2 linked regions of the Ovis aries genome follow. The protein of the gene in region 1 interacts with the protein of each later gene in a pairwise test. Links are inferred from orthologs where the notes say so. Each region holds a gene or a part of one and is shown on either strand. Other genes may lie near its edges.

Region 1 (4,057 bases):
TTCTTTACCAGCTCGGCCACCAAGGAAGCCTAAGAATATTGGAGAATATCCCTTCTTCAGGGGATCTTCCTGACCCAGGAATCAAACCAGGGTCTCCTACGCTGCAGGCAGATTCTTTACCAGATGAGCTACCAGGGAAGCCCATTGAGTGCTTGCTGCTGCTGCTGCTGCTGCTGCTGCTAAGTCGCTTCAGTCGTGTCTGACTCTGTGCGATCCCATAGATGGGAGCCCACCAGGCTCCTCTGTCCCTGGGGTTCTCCAGGCAAGAACACTGGAGTGGGTTGTCATTTTCTCTCCAACGCATGAAAGTGAAAAGTGAAAGTGAAGTCGCTCAGTCCTGTCCAACTCTTTGGGACCCCATGGACTGCAGCCTACCAGGCTCCTCTGTCCCTGGGGTTCTCCAGGCAAGAATACTGGAGTGGGTTGCCATTTTCTCTCCAACGCATGAAAGTGAAAAGTGAAAGTGAAGTCGCTCAGTCCTGTCCAACTCTTTGGGACCCCATGGATTGCAGCCTACCAGGCTCCTCTGTCCATGGGATTTTCCAGGCAAGAGTACTGGAGTGGGGTGCCATTGCCTTCTCCATTGAGTGCTTGAAATGAAGTGAAGAAGTGAAGTGAAGTTGCTCAGTTGTGTCCGACTCTGCGACCCCATGGACTGTAGCCTACCAGGCTTCTCCAGGCAAAAATACTGGAGTGGGTTACCATTTCCTTCTCCAGGGGATCTTCCCAACCCAGGGATCGAACCCAGGTCTCCCGCATTGGAGGCAGACGCTTTAACCTCTGAGCCACCAGGGAAGCCCCATTGAGCGCTTTGTGCAGGTCAAATACCTGACAATACTAGGGAGGTCCATGCCTTCTTTGCACAGAAAAACATAAATATGTACTATTTTTACATATAACAGTATGTAAAGTATATAAAGTATAATAGTATTTCTTACTGAACCTAAGAAATCAAAGTTGAAAATACTCTTCTAGATGCAGGAGAGGCAATAATTTTTGAAGAAGGAAATTACAAGAACCAGATTTCACTTTTAGTGTGTATGAAAATGATCCAAGATAGTCTGAAATAAGATTCCATACCAGAGCTGCTAGAAAAGAGATTTTTGATATAGCAATGTAAGACAGTGCTTAAATTAGTTCACTGGCAGTGAAGCCAAGAGTAGGGAGTTCATGTGCTTAATGACCATATATCTCAATTACCACCTTCTTAGAGATCTTGCCAAGAGATCGTGTCAGATTAACTTTGTTGTGTTACATGAAAAACTTTATATATAAATGTATGTTCAGTCTTATCTATTGCTATTTGGCTTCCTCTATGGGTAACTTTAAAATAACTGGCATTGTTCTTCCCTATTTTGAAGCTGAAGTACATAAGAGCCCATGGTCTAAAATTAATTAAAATTCATAAATACAGTAAATCAACTGTGATTTTTAACAACTTCAATTTCCTGGTGCACTTCAGCTATCACATATAACCCTCAAGTGTCCATGTAAATGAAGACAATCTACATGACAGCAAGATGTTTGCAGACACATTTACTACTTTGGAAACCAAGCTTGATGAGTTGCACAACATAATTTCCATAACCAAGCCAAGATTATTTAATTTGAATGGTTAAGACTTTAAAAATATATTGTAAAGCAATCACAAGACAAAGCATTACAGCTTGTTTTTTTGATAGGACAAGGTTACAGTATATTTTTATACATTTCTTATTCCCCTCTTCCCCATGCCCATAAAATTTCTGGAAGGAACAGGCCATCTTTATCCCTCTGCAGCAATCTCATGATGGTATGAATAAAAGCTCAGTTAAGTACTTGCTAAATTTGTGTACTTAACCAATTCTTGACAATTCAGTAGATTCAAACAAAAAGTTAGTAATGGTTTAAAAAAAAAGAAAAAAGAAAAGAAAAAAACTTGGTGGGCAGTAGCCAACAATACAATCACAGATAGTAGAAACCCAAATATTGTAATCACTGTGTTGCCCTAAATATAGAAAGGTCTCATAGTTTGGCCAAGAACAGCACATAAATCAATGCATTATATGAACTTCCTTTCCTGTTTCTCTCAATCCACTTTGAGTCAAAGTATTAAAAAACTGATAATATTCTAAAAAGAATCTGGGGAGAAGGAATAGAACCTATCTAATGGGATTGTTAAAATTAGAGAAAGTTAAATAATAATACTGATTAAAAGAAAAAGTTGGTATATGTCTTGCAGGTGGACCATTTCTCTAAAGCACCTAATCAATTACTGAACTCAGGAAAGGCAGCTCCTTTCCATTTGTTCCCACAGAAAGTTCTTTCCTGACTGCAACGGGCACCTTTCAGCCTCAGATCGAACCCACTGACAATCTACAAAACGCTGAGAATTAAAAGCGAGAATGCCAATGTTAGAAAACTGATCAAACACCTTCTCAACACAACCCCCTGAATTCAAGTGTCCTAATCCCACAGCTTTACAGGGCATTTCAAAGGCGCTTTACACAAAGAATCCCGCAGGTGCAAAGGGAGAAACTGAAAAGGGAGCCCAGGCGATGCACGACATGAGGGTAACGCCAGAGAACTCAGGTGCTCCCCAGTGTTTACAAACAGAAGGGCCAGAAGCTTACACATCGAGGGGAGTCTAAGCCGGAAAAAAATTGAGCGCGGAGGAGTTCTAGAGAAGTAAAGAAAAATAAAAATAATAATAACTGGATCGCCGACTACTATTAAAAGTCAGTCGCCACTTCCGGACCCTACCTGTTAGTAATTCCACTTCCGGCCTCCTCCGAAAGGCCCGCTCCCACAGGCGGACATCCAGCACCCAATGAGAGTGTTACCTACTTCCGCGGGGGCTGAATGACGTCATTTAAGTCCCGTCCTTTCCGGAAGAGAGGAGCCTATCGTAGAGCCCGAGACCCGCGCCTCAGGAGGAGGTACCCTGACAGGCCCAACCAAACCGCGGAAAGGGAAGAGAAAGGCAAGCCGGCCGTGCACGCCTCTTCCGCCCTGGGCCCGGAAGGGTGATGTGGCTGGGGCTCCGCCGGCCTCACTATGGTAAGAACCGGGGCTTTGGGGTCGCAACTGAGCTTTGTGCAGGGGCTGCGAACCAGTACAAGGGGTGGAGGGTTGAGTGGCAGTCCCCGGCCGGGGAGCCCTGTCGCTAACTTGACTCTCCTGGGGCTCAGAGGGAGAGATGGGCCCGGGAGCCATGTGGCCACTGCACGTCCAAACTGGGACAACCGGAGCCGACAGCCCAAGAAAGAGCCTCAGGGCCGCAGAGCCCCTCCTCACACGCAGAGGCTACTTTAATGACTTGTTTCAAAGAAATGCGCTGGTTTGGCTTAACCCGTCGTTACTTATTCTTTGTGGTTATTTTCAGGCTTTAGAGCTGCCGGATTTGCGCGCTTGTTGTTTTGCGGTTTGTTATCTCATTGCCGACCTAAGCCAGGTGTTTCATTGTTTTCAAACAAACTCGAGACATGCCACCTTAATTTTGACTTGTTGAATTAATTGGCCTTTTAGGTCTCTCCAGCTCCATTCTCTCAACTCTAAAGATGCTACTTTATAAGCTGTGATATAATCACTGGAGTTGTCTGTAGAGGTGGCTTTTCTAGAAGCTTACTGTGCTTGGAGTGGTTTCTGGCCTCGGGTCTTCCCTTCCATACATTATTAAGGTTTCCTGTGTTATTTTGTCTTATTGCAGATTCCTTTAATAGTTTGGGCCTCTTGGAGAAGCTTGAAATTAGCTTGAATAAGTTCACAAGAGAAATGTTTACTTCTCCAAGCTACGAAAAATACATAAAACCAACGTGGACGAAGGACAGATGAAATAATCAGTAGTAATAGCAAAGATCTCCCAAGCTATGTCTGCAGGCATTTCACCTTTGTCACGGTAAATGCTAACAACCTCTACACTGGGCCCTCCCCATGAATTTAGGAGGTCTATATGCCAGATGTGTTTATGAGGAAAAGATTCGTGCCTTTTATTATAGTATCAAAAGCAGCCATGACAAAAGCTTTTCTGCAGTGAAAAGTTGTTGAGCTTACGTTCCCAGAAGTTCCTGCAGAATCC
Region 2 (4,186 bases), on another chromosome or scaffold:
GCACGAGAAATTGATTTTCACTGTATTCTATTATCTACAAGAGTTCTAAGCTTTCCCCCCTCTGTAAAAACATGAAGACATTCCCACTGCCAAATTATTTTACCACAGAGAATGTTTAACACATTGGAATTATAAACATAAAGGTTGTGACCATGAAGGTTTGTAAAATTTGTTTCCAAAAGACATGACTAATTAAGAGAGTAAAAATAATCATCCTGATTATTATTAATCACTTCTGATAGATATGAATTAAACTCCCTGAGTTTTCTGACTTAGAACTATGTCTGTGCTCTCTCATATACCATGAAGGGAAAAAAAAAAAAAAAAAAACCCTCACTGGAATTGCTGTTGTTTGAAACTGCAGCCCTCATGTGGAGTTTTAAACCACTGTAGAGAAGAAACACCTGTCAGCTCCAAAATCTTGAAAACCACAAGGTGATTCGTTTATTCTTCAAAGTTTTCCTTCAACACATCTAGTTTCATTCACTTCTAATACCCATCAAACTTGGCAACAAAATCTCATCATCGAATGACTATTCAAAGAGAAAAAGCTTAATCCTGACCAGGTAACTGACTTCCTATTCCTTACCATTTTTAAAAACAGAAACCAAATAAGCTTGTCTCACATTAGCAAACCTATTAACAAACAGCAAGCTACAAATAATGAAGGGTCTGTGACCTGGTGCCAAATTTATAAAACAGAGGCCTAAAATTCACCCATCATTTAACCCAATTCATAGTACTCTACGTTAGTTACACGATTTGTTAAGTAAATTAAAACTCATTAGTAACCAGACATAAGATTTCTAGATGAAGCAGATACTCTATTTCTAATTGAGATGAAATGAGAGAGAGAGTAGGGAGGGAGAGAGAATTAGGAATAGAGGGGGAAGGAGGAGAGGAAAGGACGAAGGGGAGTAAGAAAGGAAGGAAAAGGGGGAGAAAACCTCCCAAGCAGTTCCTCCAAAGGTTTGTATATAATGCTGCTGCTAAGTCGATTCAGTCGTGTTCCACTCTGTGCGATCCCAGAGACGGCAGCCCACTAGGCTCCTCCGTCCCTGGGATTCTTCAGGCAAGAATACTGGAGTGGGTTGCCATTTCCTTCTCCAATGCATGAAAGTGAAAAGTGAAAGTAAAGTCGCTCGGACGTGCCCCGACTCTCAGCGACCTGCAGCCCACCAGGCTCCTCCATCTATGGGATTTGCCAGGCAAAAGTACTGGAGTGGGGTGCCATTGCCTTCTCCGTTGTATATAATAGACTATGGAGAAAAGTAAGACACATTTAAGTAATAAAAAAAAAAAAAACAGCAAGTAAACTTGAAGTTTCTCAATAACCCCACTACATATACATACACTCACACTCCTCTAAAACTAATTTCCCCAACACCACCTTGAACCACCTTTCCTTTTTCTGCTCAGAGAGGGGTCCTAAGCCTAATACAAATGGTTCCATTTAGACACTGGCAGTTAATCAGAGTAATTGACCAGACTCCTTACTCCCTGGTGTAGGCTCACTGACACAGCTTTGTTCAGACATTCAAAGAGAAAACTGAAGGGCAAGTACCCGTTTTATCTCTGTGTGCCCCGCAGTGCTAGGGTCTGCAGACTCGCAGCATAAAGTGGCCAGTAAACAAGACACGTTGAATGTAGAGAAAACAATATGTATGTATTTAATGAGAGATCTACAAATTTCCAGAATGTTACAGGCAAGTTTTCTAACTCCTAAACACCTCAGAGAAAGAATACATAACTCAGTTGCACTCTGTTACCCAAAATCTTGTGTGTGTGTCCTTTAAATAACTCGCTCAATTTTCTCATTTGAACAATGAAGATAAAAGCACCTAACTCAAAAAGTCTGGAAAGGTTTAAAGAAGCTGGTACAGGTAGTCTTTAGATCAATGCCCGAATTCTACACACTACATAAACGTGAGTCACTGACGTTACTGAAAAAGATTATTACAATAAAAGTAAAGCCAAAGTAGTACCACCAGAGGAGCCAAAGCTTAAAAGAAATTATTCTAGAAAAACTAAGATCAGAGGTTGGCAGACTTTTTCTGTTAAGGGCCAGAAACTACTATGAATATCGTGGCTTATCAAGCCAACAGGCAATATTTCCAACCCTTAGAGAAATTCTTCTCCCTGAAAGGCTAATATGGGTTTTTTTGTTTACGTTTTAAAATCTGAGAAGCATTCTTAGTACGTGGGTCCCAACAATTGCAGGCTGGATTTGGAGCCAGGGCCACAGTTCGCCGACCTCTGGGTAAAACACTAATGACGATAATCCAGGTCAGTGCTTGTTAAAGGCAGCAGAAGGAAACGTCTGCGAGTTAGTTCAAGTTGACTGAAAAGCGTGCTGCCTTCAAACTTCTAAAATCCAGAAAGGCCTGGCCGGAGCGGTGGGGAACCCGGGCAGGACCCAGAGTAGGGCCTCAGGAGCCCGCAGGACCTCGCGGTTCTCCGGGGCCGCCGAACCCCCGCCACACTTACTCCCAGAAGCGGCCCGCGGCCGATGACCGTCTCCCCGGGCGCCAGGGCCACCCGGGGGCCGCCGTCCTGCGGCTGCAGCTCGAAGCCCCCGGACATGGCGGCGAGGATTAAATAGACCCCTTCGCAAGGAGCGAGACCCTGCAACCGTTTCCGGCTTCCAACGACAGGCGCGGGACGCAGAGAGGCCCCAAGAAAGACAAGCGGAGGTAAAGCAAAGACTGCCCTCAAGAGTGCCCCGGCTGCGCGGAGCTGGGGCCCCACCGAGGGGACCGAACCCCGCCCTTCCACTCCGGCCAGTGACGTACTCAGGGAATCCCCTTTCACTCCGCCTCCAATCTGTTTTTTAAAAGCCCCGGTTACCCAACCCCGCGACCCCAGCCCTTCTCACCGCCCACCCGGCTCGGAGGACGCCGGTCCTTGTAGTCAAGACGTCTTCCCTTCTCCTCCACTGACGATCTCAGGCGCCCTGGGAAAACTACCAATCCCAAGAGGCAATGCGCGCCCCTCTCTGCGCCTGTGCGAAATCCGAGTCAGCAAGGCGGGGCTAGAGTGGGTGGGAAGAAGGGGACTAGAGGGAAGGATTCGAATTCTGGACAATTTAAATCGCGGATCGAGAGGTAGCAGCTGCCAAGTAGGTAGGAGGGGGTCTTCCGTTTACGCTGAGGTCTGGCAGGCGTGATCCGGGGCTCGGCCCTGGCGCTCGCACAGCCTCTGCTTGGCCGACCGGAGCTGTGGTGACAGTCGGTGCTGACAGTTGTTATTGTTTACCTGTCAATGCCCAGGTATTTGGACTCCGACAGCTGCTGTCGGCGCCGGGCATGCCAGGAGGGTGGTTCAGATGGGACGTGGGGTCATTCCTTCCGGCCTGCAGTGTCTGCCTGGGGTGGAGGCACCCCGAGAGCCGGGCGTCTGCCCTGCTTTACTATTCCTCCCTCCGAGTGACACCTGAAAGAGGGGTGACCTGTCACCTAGTTAGGTAATTTAGCAAAGTTTGGTTTAGAAAGAAGAGGATAGGTTTCTAAACATCCAGGCAAAATGGGACTTGGAAGAAGAAAAATGCCTAGTGGGGTTTAGGCACCCCCATCTGTTAAATCCAAATGCTTTCATCTGCCTCGTGTGGAATAATTGTAACAGGAGGACGTATTTTATCTCCAGTGAAATCTTAGGAAAAATAACAAATGTGCGTTTAAATGCACAGTAACTTTCTCCTAGTATGATATTCTTTTCAAGAATAGAGTAGTTTGGCTTTAGTTTATATTGATGAGGGCTAAGCATTGGAGAAGGAAATGGCAACCCACTCCAGTGTTCTTGCCTGGAGAATCCCAGGGACGGGGGAGCCTGGTGGGCTACAGTCTATAGGGTTGCACAGAGTCGGAAACGACTGAAGTGACTTAGCAGCAGCAGAGGGTGGAAGTGCAAAAACTTGACTTATGAACTTATTTTTTGCAGTTTGCTTTCTTACTTCCCTAAACTCTCAAGAGGAAATCCTCTGTTGAACTCAGACATTAAAATTCTGACCACTGTAGCCAACTTGGATCATAACCAAATGAACGGGAGCATCTGTGGTCTTGGCAGGTTTAGAAACATATAGGTGAGTAGCACATGTAGAAAGGGAAATTTGTCATTAGCTAAGATAAATGAAGTATTAGCTGTATCTGAAACCCCTCCTGCACCAACACCCCTCGCTATAAAAGGAAGT

The links. The genes of interacting proteins can lie anywhere in the genome.
Region 2: the proteins of XRCC4 (region 1) and APLF interact in binary tests that used the Homo sapiens proteins (3 or more experiments, as listed by UniProt). The link is inferred for Ovis aries from reciprocal best matches to the Homo sapiens genes XRCC4 and APLF.

Annotation. Positions count from the first base shown.
Region 1 is NC_056058.1:80,503,230-80,507,286, reverse strand, and holds the start of XRCC4 (DNA repair protein XRCC4), read right to left. Parts: upstream 2,812-4,057; 5' UTR 2,743-2,811; intron 1-2,742. Other genes in the region: TMEM167A (protein kish-A), read left to right, coding at 3,037-3,039.
Region 2 is NC_056056.1:39,874,385-39,878,570, forward strand, and holds the start of APLF (aprataxin and PNK-like factor), read right to left. Parts: upstream 2,805-4,186; 5' UTR 2,584-2,804; coding exon 2,488-2,583; exon of another isoform or gene 2,171-2,487; intron 1-2,170. UniProt on the Homo sapiens protein: Histone chaperone involved in single-strand and double-strand DNA break repair.